Stegostoma tigrinum: one gene and its partners. The protein of the gene in region 2 binds, or shares a complex with, the protein of the main gene of each other region. Links are inferred from orthologs where the notes say so. Each region holds a gene or a part of one and is shown on either strand. Other genes may lie near its edges.

Region 1 (7,859 bases), on a different chromosome or scaffold from region 2:
TTTCCGAAACGGCAGCCTTCCTACTCCTCTGATGCTGCTTGGCCTGTTGTGTTGATCCAGCTCCACATCTTGTTATCTCAGATTCTCCAGCATCAGCAGTTCCTACTATCTCTGCTATAGTTCCCTGGATGAGTAAAGACAGAACTTTAAACGAAGGCTGGGGGAGGAGACGCGGACTACAAATTTCAGTTGAATTATTTAATAACAACTAAACCGAATGTATAAAGAACAGAAGAGATGACGTGATGGAGGTAGTGGAGAGAAGGTACTGGGACAGATTTATAGGCAATGTAAAAATGAACTCCCAAAAGACTTTGATTCCACTTTATCAATTACATGTTTTGGGGAAAGAGTCAGATCAATTATGTACAATTCTTCTGCAGGCAGAGGGTATGGCAGCAGTATTAAAGTGAACATGTTGTATCTGTTTTGCACTGCAGATGAAGCTGCCAATGTAATAACAAAAAGGAGATATGGAGAAACTGGATAGATAAAGTGGAGGCATCTAAAATGTCATCCCCAAAGAAGAAAAGTCATCTGTCTGGATGGATAGCACAAGATGTCTGAGGAAAGTTCTCGCCACAAACCAAAATCTTTTAATAAGGAGAAAAGGCCAGAGGTTTGCAAAATTGTGCTCTCATATTCAAAGCAAAGCAAAGCAGAGTGTAAACACTGCTATTATAGGCCAGTCAATCCAGTGTTAGTAGTGGAAGCCGTTTTAGATATAGAATTGAAGACAAAAATAAACTTTTGCTTGAAAATATATGGTTCAATAGCGCCAGCCAGCATGGGTTTGTTAAATGCAGTCAATCTAATCAAACATGTTCTTTGAAAAACGTACTATGAGAAATCCTGAGGGTTCTGAGGTTGATATTGTGCTTTGGATTTTCAACAGGTGTTTGAAGAAGTAACACACAATAAGCTTATTAGAAAAATGAAATGCAAGGGATTAAATGAGCTGTGACAACCGGGACATAAAACTGACTATGGGAAAGCAGATTGGTAAATCATTTTTTCTTGTGGTGCAGTGGTAGTGTGGGCTAGGAGGCTCAGATTCAAGTTCCACTTGCTCGAGGAGCATACTAACTAACATATCTGAGCAGGTTGATTAGAAAAACAGTTTAAAATTTAAAAGCAAAAATTAAAAATGCGAGGAATTGAGTGAGTAGATGTCAGTGTGACTATACTTTCATACATAGATATGTGCAAATGGCGCATACACAGTTTCAAACTTGGTGGATGATGTGTAACTCAAACAGTGGGAAGATACTAGCTGAGTAAAGGAGGCTATACTAGTGAAACGAGCAAACATGACAGATACTTTTTACTTCTCTGTTAAGTTGCAAGACATATTATTAAGAAGAATGGGGTTGTTAAAAAAGCACAGGAGATTATAGGCTTTATAAACAGAAGTGTAGATTACAAAAAAAAAGTTCTGTTTAATTTTCATTTAAGAAAGAAACAGTGGTGCTGAACCAGTTTCAGATCACCACATTCTCGACTGAATAATGTCACCTTGGAGAAAAGGCAGAAGACATACTAGAATAGTACCAGAGTTGCAGAAATGCAGTTACCGGGCACATGAGAGAAGCTGTTTCCCTTAAAGCAGAGCCATTCAACGGGAGATTTAATGAAAGTATTCTCAACTATAAAGGGATGTAGAGTAAATTAAGTGAAGTGTCAGTAACAACACAGCAGAGATCTTAAATTTAACAGCAAAAATGAAAAATCAAAAAAGGGTGGCATAAACAGTATTTAAGAAAAAGCTTTAAATGCATTGCTTGAAAGGATGTTGGAAGCAGATTCAACGGTAACTTCCAAAATGGAATTACATCAATCTCCAAGGGAGAATATTGCACAGTTCTAGAGAAATACAGGCAAATTGAGCTAATTTAAAAGCTCTTTCAAAGAGCTGGCATGGGCACAATGGACCAAAAGACCTCCTCTGTGCTGTAGCAATCCTTTGTTAGTATACCCATGGGCTTGCTTACTTTCTTTATCTGATTCAATGTCAACAGTAGTTGGGGCAAAAAAAACAAAAAAACCAAGCTTTAATACAACTACAACAAAAAAAAACTTGCATGTACAAAATGGCTGCACCAATATGGGATTAGGCTCCTGCCACCAGAGGGCAACACATAAAAAGCTTGTCCAGCTAACATCAATAGTAGAAAATCCATAGAATCAGGACTATTCAGCCCATCCTGCCTGCACGTGCCAGATCTTGCAATGTTTCACTCCCTGCTCTTTCCTCACGGTCCTGCAAATTTTTTGCATTTCACATATTAAACCAACTCTCTTGAAAATTACTATTCAAACTAACCACTAATACTAGTGCATTCCAGATCTGAACATCTCAAATTCTCATTTCTGATCTGGTTACTTTAAACCCATATCTGCTGGTCACCACCTGCCGCTGCAAACGTTTTGACTATGGAAATCCCTCTTGAACTCAGGCAACCCAAGATCCTCATTTCTCACAAATATCCAGAATTACAACTGCAGTTCCCCTTCAAATAAAGCATTTAAATTGGCTGCAAAAGTTTTAAAACCTTTATTATATCATTCTTTTCACACCCAGATTCTCTCCAAGTTTTCAACCTCAAATGAACCCTCAGATTCCACACCAGTTGCAGAATCTATGAGGAAAACCTGTTTAGTTCTGGTTAAGAACTCACAATAAAAAAAAATGTTCCAAGCAACGCGAGGAACTCAGTACTGATTCCACACTGAGTCGCACCCAGATGAAAGCGCTGCAGTAGTGGGATCGTGCCGGCTATTCAGGCAGGCGAAAAAAAACAATGCTCACAGTCGAGAAGCTGCAGCGCAAGAGGCTTCATTACAACCCACATACCGAGCGAAGCAGAGTTCGCAGTGATTGCCCCGTTCGTTGACAGTCAGGACATGAGTGTAGGCTGGGCATGTGAAGAGTAGCTCTCCGATCGCAAACTCTTTGCGAGCCTGCAGTCCCCGTCCTTTACCCTCGCTCAGGAACCTCTCCATAGGACCCAGCAGCAGCGGCCCAGGCCTTCCTCTGAGCCCGACCCGGCTTCACTGTGTTCCGCAGAGATCAAGCTCCATAGCCGGCAACACTCACTCGCACCACTCCGTCCGGCAGCAGCTACTTAAATGGAATCGGCTGAGCGCTCCCTCCTCATTGCTGCAGTCATGGGTTGTCTGCTTCCCTACTCCTCCCGGGTCCAAGCGCTCGCCTCATTCCAACAAGCCGTTCCCTCCTGGTAACCCTCAGGGGAATTTACACAAACTCTTATTCTGAGAAATTCCAACCCTAGGTTTTGTTTTTAATCGGTGCAGTTTTTGAGTATTAAAAGGAACGAAGTGAGCTGTGTCGAAAACAACTATGTGTATTTTTTTTTAATCAATAAAAAAAACTGAGAAATTCCAAAGGTAGTAGGAACTGCCGATGCTGGAGAATCTGAGATAGCAACATGTGCAGCTGGATGAAACACAGCAGGCCAAGCAGCATCAGAGGAGCAGGACAGCTGACGTTTGAGGTCTAGGCCCTTCATTTTCTGAAGAAGGGTCCACACCCGAAACGTCAGCTTTCCTGCTCCTCTGATGCTTGGCCTGCTGTGTACATTCAGCTCTGCGCCTTGTATTCAGAGAAATTCAAAACCTAGTTTTAAAATCGGGGCAGTTTTGGTGAGTAAAAGAAACAAAGTGAGCTGTATTAAAAAACAAGTATGTGTACATTTAACAGTTTTTAAAACAATAAGAAATGTATTAGCGTTCATCCGGTCCGGCAGTATCCCCAAGATCACGCTGTTCAATTTTATTCTGTTGGTGTTGTTTGGGGGTGGGGGTACTGGTTGCATTTGTTTTACACCTTCCATAAACCACATCCCAACGTGCTTTACAGCCAATGAAGTGTTTTGGAAGTATAGTGCCTGGGGTAAAGTAGGAAATGCAGCAGCCATTTTATGCACAGCAAACTCTGACTTGAGACCTCCACCAGAATCATCTGCTTCTGTAATGTAGGGATAAGTATTGACCAGAATAGCAAGGTGAATTTCCCTGTCCTTTTTCAAAACAGAGCCATGGGATATTTTACATGTACCTAAGGGTTCAGTTTGGGCCATATCTCATTCAAAAAACAAATTCTGCCACAACACTTCTTACAAGCAGTAAATTACTTTTTTTACAAAAAAGGGAGCATCATAAAAAATTTGCTTCTTTGAGATGAAGACAGTAGAAGTTTTTCAACACGTTGAGAGTATTTTAAATTTCCAATGCTTAGGTCATGCAATTGGACTAAAACCCACAATTTGTCTACACTAAAGAAAGATTACTGTTTAATTTTGTTAACTGATCACACCTGGATCAGCAGGTGTTATGCCACAATTAATGTTAACAGTCCAGTGAGTTTTTCTGCCTGTGGATAATCAGACCTGGATAATGTCCAGCTCTTGTTGCAGATGGACATGAACTGCTTCAGCATATCAGGAGTTGTAAATAGTATTGAACTTTGTGGAATCATCAGCAAACATCCCCACTTCTGACCTTATGATGGGGGAAGGTCATTGATGGAGCAGCTGAAGATGGTTGTGCTTAGGACACTACTCTGAGGAACTCTTTCAATTATGTCCATGATATTGACATGCACATCCCATGAATACATATTAAAAACTGGTAAATTGTTCCAAATAGTTTCTATCAAAAGTAATTTTCATTATACTTAATACCATGTCACTCACAGATGGCACTCTTGACACTCTGATTAAAATTGTTAGCTTTTTGTGATAAACTTGTTTTCAGCTGCACAAATAAAATGTAACTAGATTGCCTTCTTTAAATATATCAAGGACTACAATAAATGCAAACAAAATAATGCCATAAAATGCTACCTAATTGGACTGAGTCATGGGAGATTTTGTATTTGGCAATAAGCAAACAAGTTTGGATGGAAATTTGAATGGAAATAAGCTCCTGAAAATGTGTGCAATTGTGAGTACAATTTGTGGCTCAGACAGCAATTGTGTTCAATGTAAAAAACATTCAAGATAAGTATTTATTAATGCCCATACATCAGAATTTTAATGAGCCTCATAAATTACACTCCCTTCATTTCAGGAGGCCCTGTAAATTTGTATGTTATGTTCAATTTAAACCTCTGTGAAAATTTTACCCAAATTAACTTTATTTTAATATTATAGATTGCCTCTCTGCTGGAAGCTACAAACAAGCACTGGCATGTGCCTGAATTAAACCTGTACGTTGTTGCACTGGAGCTGGTTTCCAGATGATCATAGCCCCTGCATTTAAGTCAAAATCACTCATGTATACCACAAACAGCAAGGGCCTCAGCACTGCAGAATTCCTCTGGGAACACAAATACAATTGCAGAAACATCACCCTCTGTTTCCTGCCTCACACCAAATTTCAGATCCAATTTTGCCTTAGTTTGCCTTGGATCCCATGACTTTTACTTTCTTATACAATTTGCCAGTTCAAAAACCACATCAAAAATGCCTTATCAAAAGCCTTACTAATGTCCAAGAAGACCACATAAAATGCATTACCATAATGCATGGATCTATCACTTTGCCTTAAATCCCAAGCGGTATTAGTTACTTGTCACTCTGTTGTTCTGAGGAAGGGGCACTGGACCTGAAACATTAACTCTATTTTCTCCTCCACAGATGCTGCCAGACCTGCTGAGCTTTTCCAGCAACTTTGTTTTTGTTCCTGATTTACCACATCTGCAGTTCTTTTGGTTTTTATTTGGTATTAGTTAACTTGTCTCTCTGCTGTGAGGGACCGTATCAAAAGCCTTTCTAAAGTACAAGAAAACCATGTCAAATGCACTGCTCTTATCAACACTCCTGGTTACCTCCTACAAACATTTTGTCGATCTGTCAAACATGACCCCTTAACAAATCCTTGCTGACTATCCCTGATTAATCCATGCCTCTCCAAGTTTGAATATTCTGTCCCTCAAAGTTCTTTCTCATAATTCCTCCACCACTGACGTTGGACTGACTGGCCTGTAATTTCCTGGTCTATCCTGTCCAGCCTTTGTTTTTATTTAATCTGACAATGTTAGCAGTCCTCTGATCCTCTGGCATCGACCTGTGGTCAGAAAGGATTTGAAAATTACTGTCAGAACCCTGATATCCTTTCTCTTGTCTCCTGGGACACATCTAAACAAGGACTGTCGATTTATCCACTTTTAAGATTGCTAAACCCATTAGTGCTTCCTCTGTATCTTATTTTGGGTATTTTATTTTACAATTTCACAGTCCTCCATTTTGATATCTATACCTGCATTATCCTTTTCCACTGCGATGACTGACACAAAATAATCATTGAGGATTGTGTCCACATCTTTTTGGGTCATCACATTACCTTTATGGTCCCCAATGGGTCCTACTGTTTCACTAGATTTTCTCTTGCCCTCTCTATATGTTAAAAAAACCTTAATGGGCTTTCCTGTATTCTACTTTTGTCGTGCGCTCTCCTAGCTGATCTATTTTCCTTTTAAAGTTCCCAACTGCATTTCATATACTCCTTTAGGCTTTCTGCTGTATTGAACCCTTGGTATCTGCCTTAAGCTGCAGTATAGGTATGTAATCTAATTAGAGTCATAAACAGCAAGGAAACAGACCCTTCGGTCCAGCTCATCCATGCTGACCAAATATCCTAAAAAATCTAGGCCCACTTTCCAGCATTTGAGTGATATTTCTCCAAACCATTCCTTTTCATATACCCATCCAGATGCCTTTTAAATGTTGTAATTGTACCAGCCCACATCACTTCCTCTGGCAGTTCGTTCCATACATACACCACCCTCTGCGTGAAAAGTTGTCCCTTAGGTCCCTTTTAAATACTTCCCCTCACATCTTAAACCTTTGTCCAATAGTTTTGGCACCCTGGGGAAAAGACCTTGTCTATTTACCCTATCCATGCCCCCGAACTTGACCACTGTTTATTATGCCAGGCTGTACAAAATGACTTAGTGTCTTTCCACGGACCCATGTGTTCATGGGGAAATCCCAAACCAAATGCCTTGTTCCATTTCCAGTTTGGACAACTGTCTGCACGCTGGCTGATCATGCTGTTGTCACATTTTCTCCCTTCTTTCCAACAGAATGTCACGTCCATGTGGTTCACATGGTGAGATTGTGGGAACGCTGCACCATTTGGATCTGTTACCTAAACATGAAGACTACTGTTAAGGTTGAGCCATTGCCTGAAGGACTGGCATATGAATTTAACATAGATATCTGAAAATCCTGACTAAATTGCTTGATGTTTGATGACCATGGATTTCGTAGCACAGAAAATGTGTTCTGTTAGACTCTTCCAACCAGGGAGAGAAGATATAACAAGGCATTCAAATATTTGGAAAGCTCAAATGTCATGAAGCAAAGATTATTTCTTTCACTGACATCAGATCATTACAAAGATAAATGGAAATTAATGATAAATAAGAAACATATGTATATTGAAGAAAACCTTTGAATCACTTAGACTACAGATTACTTTGTCTATTTGCACTCCTACTTTTCCCATAGGCCTACTTTCCAACAATAACCTGTTTCCCAGAGAGAGGACATTTCACTGTTTTCGCTGCCATCCCTCACTGTCACCACCTACTGGTTGGAGGGCCTGTTGAACTGCGCAGCTCCCTTGCTCATTGTATCGCAGATCATGGGAACTGCAGATGCTGGAGGATCCTAAGTAACAAAGTGTGGGGCTGGATGAACACAGCAGGCCAAGCAGCGTCTTAGGAGCACAAAAGCTGACGTTTCGGGCCTAGACCCTTCATCAGAAAGGGGGCATGGGGAGAGGGTTCTGAAATAAATAGGGAGAGAGGGGGCGGAGAGAAGATGGATAGA
Region 2 (7,750 bases):
TCCCTCTCCGGTCAGTGAGTGAAAAAGTAAAAAAAAATTTCTGAGCAGTTTGTTACTCTATCTCTATTTGTCACTCTGCAAATTATCTTCTTAGTGTCATAGAGAAGTGCAGCATGGATATAGACCGCTTGGTCCATGTTTGACCACCCCAACTTGGTCTGATTCAGAGATAACAAGAACTGCAGATGCCGGGTACAGAGACAACACATTGTGCACCTGGAGGAACACAGCAGGCCAGGCAGCATCAGAGGAGCAGGAAGGCTGACGTTTTGGTCAGGACTCTTCTTCAGACATGGGGGCGGGGGAGGGGGCTCTGAAATAAATAAAGATAGGAGGGGTGGGGCTGGGAAAGGTAGGTGGGATGGCGATAACTGAGTGCCCAGAGGGTTGCAGTGGGAGGGAGGTCCACTGAGATCTTTCCGGAGGGAGGAGGACAATTTCTTGAAGGTGGGCATTTCGAGAAGAGTGCCCATGTGCCCCTGACAATCACACTGTGCCCACGTATCCCTATCAATCACACTGCCCACGAGCCTCTGTCAATCACACCGTGCCCACGTGCCCTGTCAATCACACTGTGCCCACATGCCCCATCAATCACACTGTGCCCATGTGGCCCTGTCAATCGCACTGTGCCCACGTGCCCCGTCAATCACACTGTGCCCATGTGCCCCTGACAATCACACTGTGCCCATGTACCCCTGACAATCACACAGTGCCCACGTGCCCCTGTCAATCGCACTGTGCCCATGTGCCCCTGACAATCACACTGTGCCCATGTACCCCTGACAAACACACTATGCCCACGTGTCCCTGTCAATCACACTGTGCCCATGTGCCCCTGACAATCACACTGTGCCCATGTGTCCCTGTCAATCACACCGTGCCCATGTGTCACTGTCAATCACACCGTGCCCCCGTGCCCCTGTCAATCACACTGTGCCCACATGCCCCTGTCAATCACACTGTGCCCATGTGCCCCGTAAATCACACTGTGCCCACATGTCCCTGTCAATCACACTGTGCCCACATGTCCCTGTCAATCACACTGTGCCCATGTGTCACTGTCAATCACACCGTGCCCACGTGCCCCTGTCAATCACACTGTGCCCACGTGCCCCTGTCAATCACACTGTGCCCATGCGCCCCGTCAATCACACTGTGCCCACGTGTCCCTGTCAATCACCCTGTACCCACGTGCCCCTGTCAATCACACTGTGCCCATATGTCCCTGTCAATCACACTGTGCCCACGTGTCCCTGTCAATCACACTGTGCCCATGTGCCCCTGACAATCACACTGTGCCCACGTGTCCCTGTCAATCACACTGTGCCCACATCAATCATTATGTGCCCAAGTGTCTCTGTCAGTCATTATGTGCCCACGTGTCCCTGTCAATCACACTGTGCCCATGTGCCCCTGACAATCACCCTGTGCCCATAACAATCACACTGTGCCCTCGTGCCATGTCAATCACACAGTGCCCATGTGCCCTGCCAATCACACCGTGCCCACGTGCCCCTGAGAATCACACTGTACCCCCGTGCCCCTGTCAATCACACTGTGCCCACGTGCCACTGACAATCACACCGTGCCCACGTGTCCCTGTCAATCACAGCATGCCCACATGTCCCTGTCAATCACAGCATGCCCATGTGCCCCTGTCAATCACACTGTGCCCATGTGTCACTGTCAATCACACTGTGCCCATGTGCCCCTGTCAATCACACTGTGCCCATGTGCCCATAACAATCACACTGTGCCCATGTGTCCCTGTCAATCACACTGTGCCCATGTGCCCCTAACAATCACACTGTGCCCACGTGCCCCTGTCAATCACACTGTGCCCACGTGTCCCTGTCAATCACACTGTGGCCACGTCAATCATTATGTGCCCATGTATCTCTGTCAGTCATTATGTGCCCTGTCAATCACACTGTGCCCATGTGCCCATAACAATCACACTGTGCCCACGTGCCCCTGACAATCACACTGTGCCCCCATGCCCCGTCAATCACACTGTGCCCCGTGCCCTGTCAATCACACCGTGCCCCCGTGTCCCTGTCAATCACACTGCGCCCCCGTGCCCCTGTCAATCACACTGTGCCCACGTGCCCCTGAGAATCACACAGTGCCCACATGTCCCTGTCAATCACACTGTGCCCACGTGCCACTGTCAATCACACTGTGCCCATGTGCCCCTAACAATCACACTGTGCCCCCGTGTCCCTGTCAATCACACTGTGCCCACGTCAATCATTATGTGCCCATGTGTCTGTCAGTCATTATGTGCCCTGTCAATCACACTGTGCCCATGTGCTCCTGACAATCACCCTGTGCCCATAACAATCACACCATGCCCACGTGCCCCTGACAATCACCCTATGCCCACGTGCCCTGTCAATCACACAGTGCCCACGTGCCCCTGAGAATCACACTGTGCCCCCGTGCCCTGTCAATCACACTGTGCCCCCGTGTCCCTGTCAATCACACTGTGCCCACGTATCACTGTCAATCACCCTGTGCCCACATGCCCCTGTCAATCACCCTGTGCCCACATGTCCCTGTCAATCACACTGTGCCCACGTATCCCTGTCAATCACCCTGTGCCCCCATGCCCGTCAATCACACTGTGCCCACGTGCCCCTGTCAATCACACTGCACCCACGTGCCCCTGTCAATCACACTGTGCCCACGTGGCCCTGTCAATCACCCTGTGCCCCGTGCCCTGTCAATCACACTGTGCCCCCGTGTCCCTGTCAATCACACTGTGCCCACGTGCCCCTGTCAATCACACTGTGCCCCAGTCAATCACACTGTGCCCATGTGCCCTATCAATCACCCTGTGCCCACATGCTCCTGTCAATCACCCTGTGCCCACGTGGCCCTGTCAATCACCCTGTGCCCACATGCCCCTGTCAATCACCCTGTGCCCACGTGGCCCTGTCAATCACCCTGTGCCCCGTGCCCTGTTAATCACCCTGTGCCCACGTATCCCTGTCAATCACCCTGTGCCCCGTGCCCTGTCAATCACACTGTGCCCACATGCCCCTGTCAATCACACTGTGCCCCCGTGCCCTGTCAATCACACTGTGCCCACGTGCCCTGTCAATCACACTGTGCCCACATGCCCCTGTCAATCACACTGTGCCCACGTGTCCCTGAGAATCACACTGTGCCCCCGTGCCCCGTCAATCACACTGTGCCCACGTGCCCCTGTCAATCACACCGTGCCCCCGTGTCCCTGTCAATCACACTGCGCTCCCGTGTCCCTGTCAATCACACTGTGCCCACATGTCCCTGTCAATCACACTGTGCCCACGTGCCACTGTCAATCACACTGTGCCCATGTGCCCCTAACAATCACACTGTGCCCCCGTGTCCCTGTCAATCATACTGTGCCCACATGTCCCTGTCAATCACACTGTGCCCACGTGCCACTGTCAATCACACTGTGCCCATGTGCCCCTAACAATCACACTGTGCCCCCGTGTCCCTGTCAATGATACTGTGCCCACGTGTCCCTGTCAATCACACTGTGCCCACGTCAATCATTATGTGCCCATGTGTCTGTCAGTCATTATGTGCCCTGTCAATCACACTGTGCCCATGTGCTCCTGACAATCACCCTGTGCCCATAACAATCACACTGTGCCCACGTGCCCTGTCAATCACACTGTGCCCCCGTGTCCCTGTCAATCACACTGCACCCCTGTGCCCCTGTCAATCACCCTGTGCCCACGTGCCCCTGTCAATCACACTGTGCCCACGTGGCCCTGTCAATCACCCTGTGCCCCATGCCCTGTCAATCACACTGTGCCCCTGTGTCCCTGTCAATCACACTGTGCCCACGTGGCCCTGTCAATCACCCTGTGCCCTGTCAATCACCCTGTGCCCACGTGCCCCTGTCAATCACACTGTGCCCATGTGGCCCTGTCAATCACCCTGTGCCCCGTGCCCTGTCAATCACACTGTGCCCCCGTGCCCCTGTCAATCACCCTGTGCCCCGTGCCCTGTCAATCACACTGTGCCCTGTCAATCACCCTGTGCCCTGTCAATCACCCTGTGCCCACGTGCCCCTGTCAATCACACTGTGCCCCCGTGTCCCTGTCAATCACACTGTGCCCCCGTGCCCTGTCAATCACACTGTGCCCACATGCCCCTGTCAATCACCCCGTGCCCTGTCAATCACACTGTGCCCCCGTGTCCCTGTCAATCACACTGTGCCCCCGTGCCCTGTCAATCACACTGTGCCCACATGCCCCTGTCAATCACCCCGTGTCCCTGTCAATCACACTGTGCCCCCGTGTCCCTGTCAATCACACTGTGCCCCCGTGCCCTGTCAATCACACTGTGCCCACGTGTCCCTGTCAATCACACTGTGCCCACGTGGCCCTGTCAATCACCCTGTGCCCACGTGCCCCTGTCAATCACACTGTGCCCCCGTGCCCTGTCAATCACATTGTGCCCACGTACCCCTTCCCCCGTATCCCCGCCCCTCCCGTGTCAGTCCCGCCCCCGCAGGGCCCCGCCCCTTTCCCGCGCTCGCTGGGAGTGGGGTGCCCGCTGCTGCCTCCTGCAGGCGGGGCCGTGCAGCTGCTGCGTCGCCATGGCCGACGAGAAGCTCTTCAAGGCGGAGTATGCGAAGAGCGGGCGGGCGTCGTGCAAGAAATGCGGCGAAAGTATCGCCAAGGACTCGCTGCGGCTGGCCATCATGGTGCAGGTGAGCGATCGCTGGTCGGGACCGGCGAGAGTTTGGCCCCGGGCTGCTGACTGGCAGCGGGGATGTTCCCCCCGCCCCCCCCCCTTCAGCGTGCAGGCCTCGTGTTGTAGACCGGGGCGGCCGCAGGTTTTTTGTGGGCATGCATCCTGCTCCTTTTCAAAATGCATTATTTTTTATTCCGTTTCTGGTGATTCTGGGTTTTGTATCCGCCACCTCTTTGACCTTTCTGAGCTGCTGTGTTTTGCTGATGACTCACGCTGTAAGCCAGGCCTGCAACATTCATTGAAAATCATTGCAACTTCCATCCTCTTCAGAAGCCCCATTTTCAAAGTGACCCCCCCCCTCCCCCGTTGATTAAATATTAATTGCGAAAACCTCTTTTTTTTTCTTCCCCCAAATGCATTGCTAAAAATCCCAGTGATTATCTGCAGACGCATGCCCACCTTGTAGACTGAGCTCAGAGTGGTCGTCCTCTGGTGAAATCCTGCGTTTCGTTTTTTTTTATATATATATACACTTTTGAGACAGATTCTTTCACAGCAAAAGGCACGGTCAGAATCCGAGGGGAATTTTAAATCTTCAGAAATGCTGTTTGACCCACATAACTAACTGGATCAGCTGGGTCTTGTGGCTCAGACAATGCAAGTGGAAGGGGGGGTTGGGAATATTGCAGAGGACCACAAGCATGCTGTTGTAAGCCAAAAAAAACAGTGGAAGGTCTGAGAAGTGGAATCAAGACGTGCTCAGCAGGTCTGGAAGCATCTGTGGAGAGAGAAGCTACTCAGTTGGTGTGTGTGTGTGTGTGTGTGTGTGTGTGGTGTTTAACGTCACAGTTAAGTGTTTGATCAGAGCTAGGACACAAGAAGCAAGTTTTAAATGAGGGGCTGGGTGGAATGTCATGGGACGTAAGACAGGAAACACTAAGTGACCCATCTTTCAGTTGCTCAGAGCCGAAGAGGGTGATAATGGGACAGTAAAGAGAATCATGGACAGTTGTCTTCAGGAATCAAATCGAGTGGAGTGCGGAGCAAGGCTGATGCCTGGAAAGAAAACAGCGGGGAGAGAGAGACAGGATTTACATTCCAGGATTGTTGAAATCCATGTTGAATGTGGAAGACTGTAATGTGCCAATTTGCAGAGTGGAACATTGGCTGGCAGCAGGGCAGGGATGTCAGTTTGAGAGTAAGGTGGAGAACTAAAATAGCCACAGGAATCTCTGGGATAGTACGAACTGCTGATGCTGGAGTCTGAGATAACAAGGTGTGGAGCTGTATGAACACAGCAGGACAGGCAGCATCAGAGAAGCAGGAAAGCTGACGATTAGGGTGTGGAGAGAGAGATAATGGGAACTGCAGATGCTGGAGAATCTGAGATAACAGTGTGGAGCTGGATGAAAACAGCAGGCCAAGCTGCATCTTTTTCAGAAATGGGGGAGGGGGAGGGGACTCTGAAATAAATAGCGGGAGGAGGAAGTGATGATGGAAGGTGGATAGAGGAGCAGATAGGTGGAGAGGAGACAGACAGGTCAAGGAAGTGGGGATGGAGCCAGTGTACGTAAGGATTTGGGATGGGGGTTGGTCATTTGGGAGGGAGGGGCGGGCAGGTGGGAGGGAAACTCGGGCTCGCTCTCACAGACAAACAGTCTGTGAGAATGCAGTCTTTGCAGTGGAGGGGAGTATAACCAGGTCAGTGTGGGAGTTAGTGGTCTTACAATGAATGTTAGTCAGCAATCAGTCTCAGAAATAGAGACACAGGGGAAGGGAAGTGTTGAAGATGAACCATGTTGAAGTTGAGGGGGTGGTTTAGAAGTTGATGATATTTTCCAGTGCAGGGGTGTAAGCAGCAAACAGAGAACAATGCAGTCATTAACATGCGGATGAAGACTGGAGGGAGGAGGCTGGAGTGGTGAAACCAGAACAAGGAGAGCAGGAAGTCTCAGCAAAACCTATTGTTTGGAAGTAAGAATGAAGGCTGGCAAAATAATAGAAAGAATGTGATTCTAATTGGGTAGTGGGAGTCGGGTGCAGGAACACAGAGGCCAGGGGATACCTGCATGTGTTTACAGAACCTATAGGCAGTGGGATGAGCTGAAGAGCCCCTTTCTGTGCTGTGGATCTCTGTGACCCTTGAAAGTGGCATAGCAAGTTGAAAATGTGGCATTAAGAAGGCACGAGGGATTCTGTTGCAGACGCATTGTGTACAAAGTCAAGAAATGTGTGACGGGCCCTTCTGGAAGGTCGGTTTGACCTCGCTGCGAGTATAGTGTGCAGTTCTGGGCACCACACTTCAGGCAGAGCTGTTTGAGAGGATGCAGTAAAGATTCACGAGATGAGTTATGTCAATGGGTCAGAGAAAAGATCGACAGGGGGATTTGAGAGAGTTGGTAAAAATTGGGAACGAGTCTGAAATGAGTGAAAACCGAAAGAACTGCGGATTGGATTACCACCTTGAGTTCTTCTTGTACAGAATGCGTAGGCTGAATGGCCTCTTTCTGTGGTGTAACTGTTTTATATTGTGCTGAGAGGCATCAAAGTGGAACAGTGTCGGTCATTAAGGATATTGAGCCCCTTGTCATTGTGCATTCCTGCAGAGACAGCCTCCTGCCCCACGTAGGATGCAAACTTTTCTGAAACGAATGTTGAGTTTTTACTCTGCTGTTCACTCATGTTGCCACGTGTTTCCCACTGTGTGTGAGACAGAACATCCTTCAGGTCCTGATCCTCCCTCGCTAAACACATTGACAGTGTCAAGCCCCTTGAGAATCCAGTGTTGAGAGGATGTTTACCATCGTGGCAGAGTCTAAGCCCAGAGGGCACATTCTCAGAATAAAGGGGTGCCAATTTAAGATTGGGATGAGGAAGAATTTATTCTTGTAGAGCATTGAGAGTCTTTGGAAGTCCTTGCCACAGAGAGCTGTGGCAACAGAGTCCTTGTACTTATTTAAGGCTGAGATAGTTCTTGATCAGTCAGGGAATTGAGGGTTATGGGTAAAACATAGGGCAGTGGACGTGAGCAATGTCTGATCAGCCA
Region 3 (7,647 bases), on a different chromosome or scaffold from region 2:
TGTGAATCATATGTAGACTAGACCAGGTGTGAATGGCAGATTTTTCCCTAAAGGACATCGGTGAACAAATCAAAAATGATTTCATAGTTTTCATTGTCCTAGTTTGTTTGTTTAATTTCAGTCCTTTTAAAATTAATTGGCAGGATTTGAACTCTGGATTACTGGTCCAATGACAATACTACTGTGTCACCAGTTTCCCCCTAAGTTTATGGATGATGACTGCCAGAAAACCCTGTCAATTGTGAGATACAGCTTTCATATAGTTTTAAGAATCAGGTCTCAGGATTTAAAGCATGACTAAGAGTACAGGCTTGAAACAACTCACCTAAACAATCAGGCTCTTTGTGATAGTTGTCCACTTCCAGGTATCCCAAGGCACTGCATGTTGCTAATAGTTCACAGTTCATCATGTTCAGACGCACACAGTGCACTCTTCAAAAGCAGTCGAGACATAGGACAAACAAAGGAAGGGCGGGGGGGTGGGGGGGGGGGGTGGTGGTGTGGGTAAAAGAAGAGAGAGAGAGAGCGAGAAAAAAGGGTGTAATTGCTCCAGTTGTAAAACAGAGTGTGGAAGAATTATTTTGTCATCTGCTTAAAAGTACACTGCAAATGAAGTGATGTTATAAAAGGATGGAAGATACAAATCAAATAGATACATCGGTGCAAAAAAAGGACAAAAAGTTGTGCTACTCCCACACTCCTACCATTGCACATTTCAATGGTCATCAATCTATATGATAACTCCATTTCTGTTTAAAATACAACCACACTTGCCAAGTGCTGCTTGCATTTGCTGTCCAGTTTCAGGTAATAGCAGAAAATAGCAAAATGGTTGCTAAGAATTTCTGGTCTTAATCATGCTGCTGTGGAATATAGAAAAATACAGTGCCGCCACCACTGACATTACTAGAGACATGGCAAAACAGGATGCTGGACAAGTGACCCATCAGTTTCTTGAGACTAACAGGATTGGCAAAAGTTGCCTAGTGCATCCTTGAAAAGAGGGACTGGTAGACATCTTGAGGTCTTATGAACATACGAATGGGGAGTAGGCCATTTGGCCCTTCAAGCCTGCACTGCCATTCAACATGATCATGGTTGGTCTGATTTTGTCCTCAACTCCACCTTCCTGTCAAACATGCTAACTTTTAACTCCCTTGTTAGTCTTAATAGTATTCATAGACTCTGCCTCCACTACTGAGGAAGAGTACTTCAAAGACCCCAAAGGGTGGCTCAGTCCTTAGCATGGCTACCTCACATTGCCAGGGACACTGGTATAATTCCAACCTTCAGTGACTGAGTGAATGGAGTTTGCACATTCTCCCTGTGTCTGCATGAGGATGCTCTGGTTTCCTCCCACAGTCCAAAGTCATGCGGGTTAGTTGGAGTGGCTATATTAAATTACCCATAATGTCCAGGGATGTGTAGATAAGCCATGGAAAATGCAGAGTTACAGGAATAAGGTGGGATGCTCTCCAGAGAGTCAGTGTGGACTTGAAGAGCCTTGCTCCTACACTAAGGATTCCAAGGCTCTCAGCCCTCAGAGGAAAACAAATCTCATCTCTTCTTGTGGAGTTAAAAATACATTTCCCATCCCAAAGAAAAAGCAAGCCCAACCCCAGGAGGTCAGCAGGATGACTGGAGTTTCAATCTTTTCCATTCCACTTGTGATCAATTGGTAATACCTTTAATATTTTTTTTATTGTTATTGTACCTAAGGCCCACATTCCCCTGCCATTGATGCCAAATGTAACACTCCAAATTTCTAAAATTAGATCAGAAGAATTGTCATAAGCCACACAATACCAGGTTATAGTCCAACAGGTTTATGTAAAATTGCAAACTTTCGGAGCGCTCCTCCTTCGTCAGGTAAAGTGGAGGGAAGCACACAGTCAAAGAATTTATAGGCAGAGATCGTTGCAAGATAATTCTAGGTAATTAAAATTTGAACCTGGAACCATTTAGTGCAATACCAAGCAACACAATTATTTATTGGACCTTCAAGTAAATGTCTCATGAGCTAATTTAACAGAACATCCTCCCTCTCTCTATTATCCTCAACAGTCCTACTGTAGTTTGAGGACGATTGGCAGTGCAAACTGTATTGGGTAAGGCTTGAAAAGTTGTATTGTTGTCTACAGTAAAGTTAGGAAGTGCACAAGATTTAAAAGGGGAAAAAAGCAATTTTTTATGGAGAGTGTTACTGATGTGACAGCACCAGTGACAACACTTCCCATACAAAGCAGGGGAACCTATGACATCAAAGACCTACATTTTTGTGCATCTTGTAAATGGTTGTTGAGTCCGCTAAAAAATGTGGAGAAAGCAAGTCTTAATTTTCAATTATATGTGAAAGAGAGTTAGCAACATGGAGAAACATAAATATGGGGCAGAAGTGCTTGGAAGTTTCACTTAAACTGTAGAAGCATTTTCCAACGTAAATGACATCTTCCCCCAAACCCAGAGCCCTTCATTCATCGGAGTGTCAGAAAGAAATGTCAGCTGATTTCTACGGACACGCTGAGCTTTCCATAATTTAAGATTTCAATGGATTAGCGAGATTCAGGCTCGAAATTTGTTTTAAAGTCATGCAGCCATATAAAACACAAAATCGAGTAAAATGAGGTACTGCTTCAATAAGAAAAATATGGGACGGACGGAAGGGGGAGGGGGAAGGAATAGATGATGGTCAAGAGATCAAATTGGCTAAAAGAACTTCGGATCCAAAAAGGAATATTTGTGGATACGTTTACAACCCGACACCGACAAATCGCAATGGTGAATTTGCCGGTACAGGCACGATCAAGCAGAATGACCTCCGTCTGCTCCAAAATCATCCCGTTTTTGACTGAAAAGATTTAAATTGGGGGGAACCGAACGATTTGAAACGGAGGAATAAAAGAGACAAGCTCACCTTAGGTTTTGCAAGCCAATTTCCAAGTGCTTATGACTGAAATGCTTGAAATATTTCAACTCGATTGTCCTTCTAAAATCTGAACATTCCGCGCTCCAAGAATTCCCGCCAACCCCGGAACCGCCCAACTGGGAGGCGGCAGGGGGGTGAAGACCTGAGAAACAAACAAAAAGCAGAAATATGCAACCTGCGAACACACAAGAAAAAGTATTATTAGTATTTGTTCTTTAAAATATTATCCTTTCCTTGGTAAATTTTAGAGAGGGCTGCGTACTAAATGTAACAGATATGTGTCTTGATTCAGGCCACCCCTCTCGAGGCGCATTTAAAACAGTCCAGGCGGAGAACTGCAACGCTAAATTAACTTTGTGTCAGATATTCCGGATTTCCCCGAATAGGTGATCGTCAGAGAACGTTTTACTATACGCGATTTCAGAACAAAGCATATTAGAACAGTAGAATAACACTGTCTCGTCCGAATAACTGTGAGCCCACTCCAATCTTGTATTAAAACCCCTTTAAATTGCTTTAGTATGAGTCACGGTGGCCGAGTGGTTAAGGCGTTGGACTCGAAATCCAATGGGGTCTCCCCGCACAGGTTCGAATCCTGTTCGTGACGATATACTTTTCCCCCCCCCGGGAAAGGGAAATACAACCGCCAGGAATTTGACGTTCACGTTTTGCTTCTGGGAACGTTCACTTGTCACACAGCAGTCCCGACATACAGGCATACCAAAGTAGAAACTGCACATCTTGCACACTTTGTAAAATTCACTCAATAAAACCATGAAAGAAAACTGCTAAAAAGCTTATTACCTATTGCATTAAAAATCACAAGTTCTGTTCACGATGAATTAAATGATCTTTTGGTTACCCATTGAACAGAAGCCTTTAATTTTAAAAGTGTTTCAGCTTTTCTTCCATGAAAGATCCATTTCCTCGATTGTTAAGTGTTCAAATCGTTTTGTTTACATCATACTCCAGGTTGTCAGGAGGACAGCTCCTACACTTAGAGTGTGATGTCACCCCAAGAAACTTTGAAAAACATTCATGGAACTAATTGCCATAACAGGTAGAAGGATCACTGCACCTAACATTGTTTCATATTTTTCTACATTTCATGCAACAATGCACGAGAGGTCCATTTCATTCCACCAGCTTGGGTCAACATTAACCCACCACATGAACCAAACACAATTATATAACATTTCCATATCCTTTTCAACCTTTTTGCCTTCATACACCCATCAAGTCTAATCTGAAATACTGGCATTGTTTCTGCCTTAACCACTATCCTAATTCAACATGACTCTTCTTCAGAATAGTTCCAAAGAACAGTCATACCCAATTCAAAACTAACTTTTTCCTCCCACAGATGCTGGCAAACCTGCTGAGTCTGTTCAGAATTTTTTTTAAATTTCAGATTTCCAGTATCTGTGGTTTTTTGCTTTTATGACTGCAAATTAATTCCAGTCTCACAACTGTATGCACAAAAAGTTCCTCCTGCCCTTCATTTAAAATCTTTAAAAAAAATTCAATGGTATCAGTGAACATCCTAGGATTTTGAATGAAGTGGATGCAAAGAAAATGATTATATGGTTAGGATTTTCCAAACTATACTGGTTTCTAAAATGATTCTAGCAAATCAGAAGTTGGCAAAATGTAACTGCTCTTTGAGAAAGGCAAGAGAGAGATAGAGAGAGAAATACTGGCCAGTTATCCTGAAGTCAGTCATCAGTAAAACGCTGGAATCTATTGTTGAGGAAGTCTTAACACATTTAGAAAATTGTAGCATGACCAGTTGGATCAAAATTGTTTTATGAAAAAGAAGTCATATTTGAACATTTATTGAAGTCTTTTGAAGTTGTATGTTATAAAGGTACATAACAGAGAGTCAGAAGATAGAACATACTTGAATAAAGGTGCTGCAGAAAAAGTCAACATGCAAGATAAGAGCTCATGGAGATCAAGGTAATAGATTAGCATGAAGAGCATCAGTTGACAGACAGGAAGCAGAAAATAGGGATTAAACAGGGCATTTTCAAGTTGGCAGCTACATGTAGAATTAGTGGAATTCCGCAAATGTAATATCAGTGATGCAGCCTCAACTATTTACAATTTATATTAATGTCTTAGACAAAGAGACAAACTAATACGACTAAATTTTCTTACAGTAGAAAGCTAGGTCAGGAGGAGTGCGGTGAAGACACCAACACTGTGGAAAGATTAAGTAATTGGGCAACAAGGGTGGGGGGGGGGGGGGAAATAGATCAAGATTAATGTGGGGGTAAGTGTAATTTTGTTCACTTTAGTATTCAGTATAGAAGATGTTTTAAAAATAGGTGTGATTTTAAATGTTAATGTTCAGAGATAGGTGTGCATGTACAAACGAACACAAAATTAGTAGGCAGGTACAAGAATAAAAAGTCACTTTGCCACAATTGTATTGGGCTTTGGAGAGAACACATCTGGAGTACCTTATAATAGTTACAATGCAGGAGGCCAATCAGTATTGTCTGCACAGGCTCTCCACAGGAACACTTTACCTGGTATCACTCCCCAATCTTATCCCCATTGCTGAGCACATGGGGGTGACAGCGTTGTCCCATAAGAGGCTGAGTAAATTGGGCCTATGCTGTCTAGAGTTTAGAAGAATGAACGTCAATAGCACTGAAACAGAGAGATTCTGGAGAGACTTGAGAGTTGACACTGATTGTTTCTGTTGGTTGGGGAAAATGGGCTACACTCACAATATGAATTAATTGTTTAATCTGGGATGAGAAGACATTTCTTCTTTCAAAAGGTTGTGAATCAATGGAAGTGTCCATTGCAGAGCTCAATTGTTGGGTATATTCAAGCGGAAGTAGACAGATTTTGACCTCTCAGGCAACCTAATGATATGGAAAACTGACAGGAAATTAGTTGAGACAGGTGGTTCGTCAGGATCTTACTGACTAGTAAAGCGGGCTAAAGTGCCATTTGACCTATACCCCCTTTGACCTATACCCCCACTCCTATTTCTTACATTCTATGACACTCAGTATCTGATGTCCTATTTACCGCACAGTATTAACAACCCACCTGCTTCTATTTGCCTTGGCCTATTATTTTACATCTATTACATTGGAAGGGTGAAAAGTGCAACAATAATTTGAATTTATATAGCATTGTTAAAATAGTAAAAACAAAATGACTCACCAGGAGTGATGAAACAAAATTTGACACCGAGTCACATAGATTAGGTTCAGGCAACCAAAAACTTCAAAGTGCTAGGTTTTACAAAGTACCCTGGAGGAAGAGGAGGAGTAAACCTCAGCCCGAGAATGGCAACCCCTCTTGTATTTTACCCCAACTGCCCATTCTTTATGTATGAACGTACTGATGGTATGTCACCCGAAAAGAACATCACAATCAAATCCAATTTGGTCCTCACCAAACATCTGCACACATCAATGTTTGCTAGCAAAGGTGGGTAGCAATAAACATCAGGACAACTTTAGCTGATATTTACTCCATCTTTACCCAAAGATACTGAAGTCCGATGTAGCCACACAGCTCCCTAAATCTCAGTTGTGCGTTTAGCCACTGGGTCATTCCAGTATTCACCTTCTCACGTCAATAATTTGCATTTAATTATATTGGGGTGCAATGTAAATGTTCCAAGGTACTCCACAGGGACATGAGACAAAATTTAACCCGAGCCACCAAAGTCAGTATGAGGAACAAGTAACCATAAGCTTAAATCAAGAATGTAGCCTTTAAAGGAGCATCTTAAAAAGGGATGAATGAAAGAAAGCAAGACACAAGAGATTTGGGGAAGGAATTCCAAAACCTGCTCCGTCAGCTGCCTATGATGTGGATATTAAAATTGTGGATGCTGAAGAGTCCAAAATTGGACCAGAGCAAAGATCTTGAGATGGTTTTAGGGGCTGGAGAAGGTGACAGGGAAGGGTGTTGACAGGGAAGGGTGTAGGTGGCGGTGACATATAAGGAGGGATGGGGGAGATTACAGAGATAGGAGGTCGTAGGAGATAATAATAGTCATAGTCATAAAAGTTGTACAGCTTTAAATAGACCCTTCAGCCAAAGCTGTCCACACTGACAATACATTCAAATCTGACCTAGTCCCATTTGCCAGCATTTGGCCCATATCCCTCAACACTTTTTATTCATATACCTATCGAGATGCCTTTTAAATGTTGCAATTGTAATGACTTTCACCAGTTCCTCTGGCAGCTTGTTCCATACATGCTCCACCCCCTGTGTGAAGAAGTTACCCATTAGGTTCTTTTCAAATCTTTCCCCTCTCATCTTAAACCTATGCCCCTCTAGTTTTGGAATCCCCTACACCTGGGGGGAGAATGACATTGACTATTCACCCTATCCATGCCCCTCATCATTTTATAAACCCACTACCAGATTACCCCTCAGCCTCCTGCAATACAGGGAAAGAAGCCCCAGCTTATTTAATGTCTCCCTGTAACTCAAACCCTTCAGTCCTAGTTTCAGAAATAGGGAATTATAGGATGTTAGAGATGGAGTGTGTTTTGGGGGTGGGGGGTGGGGGGTGGGGAAGAGCAGGTGCTCACCATAAAAGTGATTCATGAACAAGGAGAATCTTTTGAAAAACAAAAAAAAATGTTGGGCAGTAAGCAGCGTGATGATAGACACACCGGATCAGTGAGAGTTAGGACGCAGGACTTTTCTGATGAAGTGTCACTGGACCCAAAACA
Region 4 (7,070 bases), on a different chromosome or scaffold from region 2:
TACATAGATCCCTTAAAATGGCCACCCAAGTGGACAGGGTTGTTAAGAAAGCATATGGTGTTTTGGCTTTCATTAACAGGGGGATTGAGTTTAAGAGTCGTGAGATCTTGTTGCAGCTCTATAAAACTTTGGTTAGACCGCACTTGGAATACTGCGTCCAGTTCTGGGCGCCCTATTATAGGAAAGATGTGGATGCTTTGGAGAGGGTTCAGAGGAGGTTTACCAGGATGCTGCCTGGACTGGAGGGCTTATCTTATGAAGAGAGGTTGACTGAGCTCGGTCTCTCTTCATTGGAGAAAAGGAGGAGGAGAGGGGACCTAATTGAGGTATACAAGATAATGAGAGGCATAGATAGAGTTGATAGCCAGAGACTATTTCCCAGGGCAGAAATGGCTAGCACGAGGGGTCATAGTTTTAAGCTGGTTGGTGGAAAGTATAGAGGGGATGTCAGAGGCAGGTTCTTTACGCAGAGAGTTGTGAGAGCATGGAATGCGTTGCCAGCAGCAGTTGTGGAAGCAAGGTCATTGGGGTCATTTAAGAGACTGCTGGACATGTATATGGTCACAGAAATTTGAGGGTGCATACATGAGGATCAATGGTCGGCACAACATTGTGGGCTGAAGGGCCTGTTCTGTGCTGTACTGTTCTATGTTCTATGTTCTAAAATAGAAATTGCTGGAAAAGCTCTGCAGGTCTGGCAGCTTCTGCAGAGATAGAATTCTGCTACTTCACGATCTTTGAAGGAAGATGGACAGATGCTGGAGGATGAGGAACCTACAGGGTCAAGGTTGGGGTATGGGAATAAGCAAAATCACTTTTCCAAAGATCCAGCACAGACATCAGGGGTAGAATGGCCTCCACAGTTTAAGGTCAGAGGGGAGAGACTAAAAACAAAAGAGTCCAGAGGGCAGGTACATGGATGGGATAAGTATGGAGGGATATGGACCAAATGCAGGCAAATGGGACTAGATTAATTGTGGAAACTGTGTGGCATGGGCAAGATGGGCTGTAGGGCCGGTATCCACATGGCTAACCTCTGACTCCATGTGTACCACAGATAACTACTTCTCTTCTCAACCAAACCAGGCCATAAGGAACTTCATGAATTAGGACTGGGCTGATGGTTTTTAAGGGTACAAGTACTGGAGCAAGTGGGAAGGGGGATCTTCAGGAGATCTTCTCTCCCTAAACCTCTCCCACTCATCTAGCCACAGATGCCTGACTGGTTTCTGCATTGAGAACACTAATCGAGACGGGGTCAGGGGTTGCGTACCGCATGGATTCTCTGGATCTTGCTTCTCACAGAATTCCCAGAAGTGATAAAAATCTTCTGGCATCTGTAGCTTGTAGAGATCCCGAACTTCTTGTCGCAGTTCCTCAGGAATGCTGGAATTCTCTCCTCGGTTCTTCTTACCATCTTCAGCTACCGGGTTCTTAGACTGAGGTAAATGAATCACAAAGAAAACTGAAATAATTCAAACAGTAAACACTGCAACATTCCCAAAACACTAAAACAGCTCCCGAGGCAGCAGGAAGTGTAGATGGAGTCAGTTACAGAGGGGGGAAGCAGAGACCTAGTTCTCTAAGAGTTTGGGGATTAGTTTGTTTGGAATTGTGGCATCAAAGGCAAAACTACAGTCAATAAGTGGGATCACTTACAGATGCCCTCTGGCCCAAGCCTCTCTCATATGGGAGAACAATCTTTCTGCGCTTATACTGCCAAGTCCCTGAGAATCTTGAATGTTTCAATAAGGTCACCTCTCATTCTTTTATTTTCTAACCCTGCCTTTTGAGATGGTCTAGTAGGTCACTCAGTTCAAGGGCAATTAGGAATGGTCAACAAATGCTGTTCCTGTCAGTGGTGCCCACATTGTGCTGAATAACAAATGAACAAAAGAGACACTGTATAACGTTTTCACCTTTGTTGCTGGTGATTTGGAGGGGAATTTGCTGTTTTTAATAGTTCCCCATAAGTCTACTCCCTGTATCCTGGGTAGTGGAGGTTTCTGCACATATTTTGTAAAAAAATACTGAAAAAACACGTGGCCTTTCACAGAAACATACAATTGACAGAAGTGACTCAAAACGTTAACTCTTGTTTTCTCTCTCTCCACAGATGCTGCCAGACCAGCTGTGTTGAGGCTGGTTTTGTTTGTTTCCAACTCCCGCAGTTCTTTGTCGTCATTTTAGTTGACAGAAGTCTTGTTCCACCCTTCCCTCTGATATAGGCGAGACACTCAATACCTTTCCTTTTGTCAAAAATATCACACATTTATCTGAAAATAAATGGTGCAGGTAAGGCTTATGGGGTCAATGCCTCACTTAATCCAAAACAGCACTGGAGCAAAGAATCTGCTCCATTGTCGCATCTAATATCTTTGCAATGAGAGACTTACTAACACTTTAGTAAAGACATTGTTAGTAACATTTAGTGAAACAATGTTGCTGCTCTTTAATCCCTGGGACACATTGTTACTTCCGGAGCTACAGTGTATCACGCTGAAAACAATCCCGTATTCACCAGACTATCCTCATCCATTTACCTCGGAGCTTCTGAATGCAGCCTTCCTCTTCCCGCGTCCCGCCATATTCAGCAAACGCGACTTTACCCGGGCGGCAGAATAAAGACGGAGACACACTGAACACACCCCCAAACCAGTCAGCTCCCCGCCTCCGCCACTGGGACACGGTCACCTCTCCGCCTCCGCCACAGGGCCGCAGTCAGTCAACGGCCTGCCTCCGCCAGAGGGACACAGTCAATCAATTCCCCGCCTCCGACACAGGGCCACAGTCAGCTCCTCTCCTCCGCCTAGGTACACAGTCAGACAACTGACCGCCTCCGCCAGAGGGAAACATTCAGCTGCCGTCCTCCGTGACAGGGACACAGTCAGCTCCCCCCTCCACCAGAGGGACAAAGTCAGTCAATCAGCCACCTCCACCAGAGGGACATAGTCAGTTAATAAAATGTGAGGCTGGATGAACACAGCAGGCCCAGCAGCATCTCAGGAGCACAAAAGCTGACGTTTCGGGCCTAGACCCTTCATCAGAGAGGGGGATGGGGAGAGGGAACTGGAATAAATAGGGAGAGAGGGGGAGGCGGACCGAAGATGGAGAGTAAAGAAGATAGGTGGAGAGGAGAGTATAGGTGGGGAGGTAGGGAGGGGATAGGTCAGTCCAGGAAAGATGGACAGGTCAAGGAGGTGGGATGAGGTTAGTAGGTAGGAGATGGAGGTGCGGCTTGGGGTGGGAGGAAGGGATGGGTGAGAGGAAGAACAGGTTAGGGAGGCAGAGACAGGTTGGACTGGTTTTGGGATGCAGTGGGTGGAGGGGAAGAGCTGGGCTGGTTGTGTGGTGCAGTGGGGGGAGGGGACGAACTGGGCTGGTTTTGGGATGCAGTAGGGGAAGGGGAGATTTTGAAACTGGTGAAGTCCACATTGATACCATTGGGCTGTAGAGTTCCCAAGCGGAATATGAGCTGCTGTTCCTGCAACCTTCAGGTGGCATCATTGTGGCACTGCAGGAGGCCCATGATGGACATGTCATCTAAAGAATGGGAGGGGGAGTGGAAATGGTTTGCGACTGGGAGGTGCAGATCTCCGCCTCCGCCAGAGGGACACAGTCAGCTCCTCTCCTCTGCCACAGGGGCACAGTCAGTCAACTGATCGACTCCGCCTGAGGGACGCAGTCAGCTCCCCTCTGCCGTTTACTGAGGCATCTTCCTGTCTCAGATTTGGTATGAGCCACAGACAAACTGGGAATGAAGTTCCATTCTTGCCTGGGGAGCTGCTGGTGTAGTGGGAATGAAAGAACAAAGAAAATTACAGCACAGGAACAGGCCCTTCAAACCTACACCGATCCAGATCTTCCGTGTAAACCTGTTGCCTATTTTCCAAGGATCTGTATCCCTTTGCTCCCTGCCCATCCATGTACCTGTCCAGATACATCCTAAAAGATGTTGGGCGGCACTGTGGCTCAGTGGTTGGCTCTGCAGTCTCACAGCGCCAGGGAACCGGGTTCGATTCCAGCCTCGGTTAACTGTCTGTGTGGAGTTTGCACATTCTTCCTGTGTCTGCGTGGGTTTTCTCCGGGTGCTCCGGTTTCCTCCCACAGTCCAAAGATGTGCAGGCTAGGTGAATCGGCCATGCTAAATTGCCCGTAGTGTTCATGGGTGTGTGTGTTATAGGAGGATGGGTCTGGGTGGGATGCTCCAAGGGGCGGTGTGGACTTGTTGGGCCGAAGGGCCTGTTTCCACACTGTAGGGAATCTAATCTAATTACAGTATTGTGTCTCCATCTACCACCTCTGCTGGCAACGTGTTCCAGGCACCCACCACCCTCTGAGTAAAGAACTTCCCACGCATATCTCCCTTAAACTTCCCTCCTCTCACTTTGAACTCATGACCCCTAGTAATTGAGTCCCCCACTCTGGGAAAAAGCTTCTTGCCATCCACCCTGTCTATACCCCTCATGATTTTGTAGACCTCAATCAGGTCCCCCCTCAATCTCTGACTTTCTAATGAAAATAATCCTAATTTACTCAACCTTTCTTTATAGCTAGCGCCGTCCATACCAGGCAACATCTTGGTGAACCTCCTCTGCACCCTCTCCAAAGCATCCACATCCTTATGGTAATGTGGCGACCAGAACTGTATGCAGTATTCCAAATGTGGCTGACCCAAAGTCCTATACAACTGTAACATGACCTGCCAACTCTTGTACTCAATATCCTGTCTGATGAATGTAAGCATGCTGTATGCCCTATTGACCTGCATTGCCACCTTCAGGGAACAATGGACCTGAACACCCAGATCTCTTTGCCCGTCAATTTTCCCCAGGGCTTTTCCATTTACTGTATCGTTTGCTCTTGAATTGGATCTTCCAAAATGCATCACCTCGTATTTAAGATAATAAAATGTGAGGCTGGATGAACACAGCAGGCCCAGCAGCATCTCAGGAGCACAAAAGCTGACGTTTCAGGCCTAGACCCTTCATCAGAGAGGGGGATGGGGTGAGGGTTCTGGAATAAATAGGGAGAGAGGGGGAGGCGGACCGAAGATGGAGAGAAAAGAAGATAGGTGGAGAGGGGAGTCGTATTTGCCTGGATTGAACTCCATCTGCTATTTCTCTGCCCAACTCTCCAATCTGATTATATTTTGCTGCATTCTCCAACAGTCCCCTTCACTACCTGCTACTCCACCAATCTTAGTGTCATCTGCAAACTTGCTAATCAGACTAACTATACCTTTCTCCAGATCATTTACGTATATCACACACAATGTTGGTCCCAACATGGATCCCTGTGGAACACCACTGGACACAGTTCTCCATTTTGAGAAACTTCTCTGTCTCCTGTTGCCCAGTCAGTTCTCTATCCATCTAGCTAGTACAGCATGGACCCCATGCGACTTCACTTTCTCCATCAGCCTACCACGGGGAACCTTATCAAATGCCTTAATGAAGCCCTTCACATATCTATCAACTTTGTCACTTCCTCAAAGAATTCTATCAAGTTGGTAAGACATGACCTTCCCTGCACATAACCATGCTGCCTACCACTAATAAGCCCATTTTCTTCCAAATGGGAATAGATTCTATCCCTCAGTATCTTCTCCAGCAGTTTCCCCACCACTGACGTTAGGCTCACCGGTCTACAATTGCCTGGATTATCCTTGCTACCCTTCTTAAACAAGGGGACAACATTAGCAATTCTCCAGTCCTCCGGGACCTCACCTGTGCTCAAGGATGCAAAGATATCCAACTATATTCTCTCCCGCTTCCCTCAGTAACTTGGGATAGATCCCATCTGGACCTGGGGACTCGTCCACCCTAATGCCTTTTAGAATACCCAACACATTCCCCCTCCTTGTGCTGACCTGACCTAGAGTAATCAAACATCTATGAATGTCACTGGAAGAGAAATCTAGAACCCAAAACCAACATTCTAGGCCACATGGATTTGAATCCCACCAATGGCTGATGATGAATTTTCGAATTCAATGAAAATCTCTAAATAAAGGATGTCTTTCTAATCAACCTGTACAGAGATGCACAGCATGCAGACAGACTCTTCTGTCCAACACATCCATGCCAACAGGATATTCTAAACTAATTTAGTCCCATTTGCCAGCATTTGGCTCATAATCCGCTAAACTCTTCCTATTCAGATCCCATCGATGCTGTTTAAATGCTGTAAATGGACCAGCCTCCATCACCTCCTCTGGCAGCTCATTCTATACACACACCACGCTCTGCATGAAAACGTTGCCCCTCAAGTCCCTTTTGAATCTTTCCCGGTTCACCGAAGTCCTCTAGCTCATAGATGTATTACACACCTCTGGAGCAGGTGGGATTTGAACCCAGGCTTCCTGGGTCCTGTGACATCATTGTCAATGGTAGTTAAAACCCCTCTGATTCACCCCTGCCCTTCAGAGGAGGAAATTGTTGTCTTTTCCTGGTCTCAGCTTCACATGATTCCAGGCCCACAGAAATGTGCTTGATTCTTAATGCCCTGTGGTAATTAGGGATGGGTAATAAATACTGGCCCAATAAGTGACACCCACATCCCAATAACCAAAAAACAAAAAATGGATCAGCAGTGAAACATTTGCTTTTGGAATTGAGCAGCTCTTTATCACCGTGGTATCTCCTGGGGAAATCTAGCGTCACTGTGACTCGTTTTGCTCTATGTCCTGTTGACGAGAGAATGGTGCTTTCTCCTGAAGAAGGGTACCCACCATCTTCTGGCACACATCCTGAAGGGTGCCCAGCTAATCCTGTGTGGATCTTCCCACAGGAGGTCGGGTTAAAGATCCAGTGGTCTGTTTTAACAAAGACCGACAAGCTGCACTGACGGAGTGAGTGTGAGAAACCTTGTGAGGACGTTGACGGGAACCTCTCTCAGACCTTTGCAGTTGTGAGATTATCTCTTTTTCCTTCTCGGATAGGGCCCAGGGATTGGCAGGGGAGGTGCCTTTGCTGGTGTTCATCATGTCCTACAAAAGAATTGCACTTTCCTAGGACCTTTCGCTATATTTAGTGCATTTTAGCCACTTTCAAAGTGTGGACTGAGAC

What was found.
Region 1: the proteins of parp1 (region 2) and smyd2a are in contact, whole or in part, in a crystal structure (PDB 9CKC), measured with the Homo sapiens proteins. The link is inferred for Stegostoma tigrinum from reciprocal best matches to the Homo sapiens genes PARP1 and SMYD2. Residues at the interface, in NP_001609.2 of Homo sapiens: Thr526, Leu527, Lys528, Gly529, Gly530, Ala531; in NP_064582.2 of Homo sapiens: Thr105, Leu108, Val179, Asn180, Cys181, Asn182, Gly183, Phe184, Thr185, Glu187, Leu191, Ser196, Ala203, Met205, Tyr240, Ile241, Asp242, Ser257, Tyr258, Asn380.
Region 3: the proteins of parp1 (region 2) and timeless are in contact, whole or in part, in a crystal structure (PDB 4XHU), measured with the Homo sapiens proteins. The link is inferred for Stegostoma tigrinum from reciprocal best matches to the Homo sapiens genes PARP1 and TIMELESS. Residues at the interface, in NP_001609.2 of Homo sapiens: Gln846, Lys849, Pro850, Phe851, Leu854, Arg878, Ile879, Ala880, Pro882, Asn928, Lys940, Lys943, Gly944, His946, Tyr992, Asp993, Ile994, Ala995, Gln996; in NP_003911.2 of Homo sapiens: Asp1036, Gln1040, Pro1043, Val1045, Pro1046, Leu1047, Thr1048, Glu1049, Glu1052, Glu1053, Glu1056, Ser1074, Gly1075, Gln1076, Glu1077, Thr1078, Phe1079, Arg1081.
Region 4: the proteins of parp1 (region 2) and histone PARylation factor 1 are in contact, whole or in part, in a crystal structure (PDB 6M3I), measured with the Homo sapiens proteins. The link is inferred for Stegostoma tigrinum from reciprocal best matches to the Homo sapiens genes PARP1 and HPF1. Residues at the interface, in NP_001609.2 of Homo sapiens: Thr825, His826, Asn827, Ala828, Arg865, Met890, Lys903, Asn906, Tyr907, His909, Ser911, Gln912, Gly913, His934, Lys953, Ser983, Leu984, Leu985, Tyr986, Glu988, Thr1011, Ser1012, Leu1013, Trp1014; in NP_060337.2 of Homo sapiens: Asn234, Val236, Asp261, Arg264, Leu265, Phe268, Gln272, Glu273, Thr276, Phe277, Gln279, Phe280, Asn282, Asp283, Glu284, Cys285, Tyr287, Tyr304, Lys307, Val308, Gln311, Leu315, Leu319.

The regions. Positions count from the first base shown.
Region 1 is NC_081362.1:56,733,238-56,741,096, reverse strand, and holds the start of smyd2a (N-lysine methyltransferase SMYD2-A), read right to left. Parts: upstream 3,219-7,859; 5' UTR 3,004-3,218; coding exon 2,855-3,003; intron 1-2,854. UniProt on the Homo sapiens protein: Protein-lysine N-methyltransferase that methylates both histones and non-histone proteins, including p53/TP53 and RB1. Specifically trimethylates histone H3 'Lys-4' (H3K4me3) in vivo. The activity requires interaction with HSP90alpha.
Region 2 is NC_081357.1:10,326,869-10,334,618, forward strand, and holds the start of parp1 (poly [ADP-ribose] polymerase 1), read left to right. Parts: upstream 1-4,574; 5' UTR 4,575-4,606; coding exon 4,607-4,720; intron 4,721-7,750. UniProt on the Homo sapiens protein: Poly-ADP-ribosyltransferase that mediates poly-ADP-ribosylation of proteins and plays a key role in DNA repair.
Region 3 is NC_081404.1:19,204,465-19,212,111, forward strand, and holds the start of timeless (protein timeless homolog), read right to left. Parts: upstream 3,060-7,647; 5' UTR 2,915-3,059; intron 433-2,914; 5' UTR 411-432; coding exon 326-410; intron 1-325. UniProt on the Homo sapiens protein: Plays an important role in the control of DNA replication, maintenance of replication fork stability, maintenance of genome stability throughout normal DNA replication, DNA repair and in the regulation of the circadian clock.
Region 4 is NC_081356.1:127,097,579-127,104,648, reverse strand, and holds the start of histone PARylation factor 1, read right to left. Parts: upstream 3,043-7,070; 5' UTR 2,589-3,042; coding exon 2,544-2,588; intron 1,440-2,543; coding exon 1,274-1,439; intron 1-1,273. UniProt on the Homo sapiens protein: Cofactor for serine ADP-ribosylation that confers serine specificity on PARP1 and PARP2 and plays a key role in DNA damage response.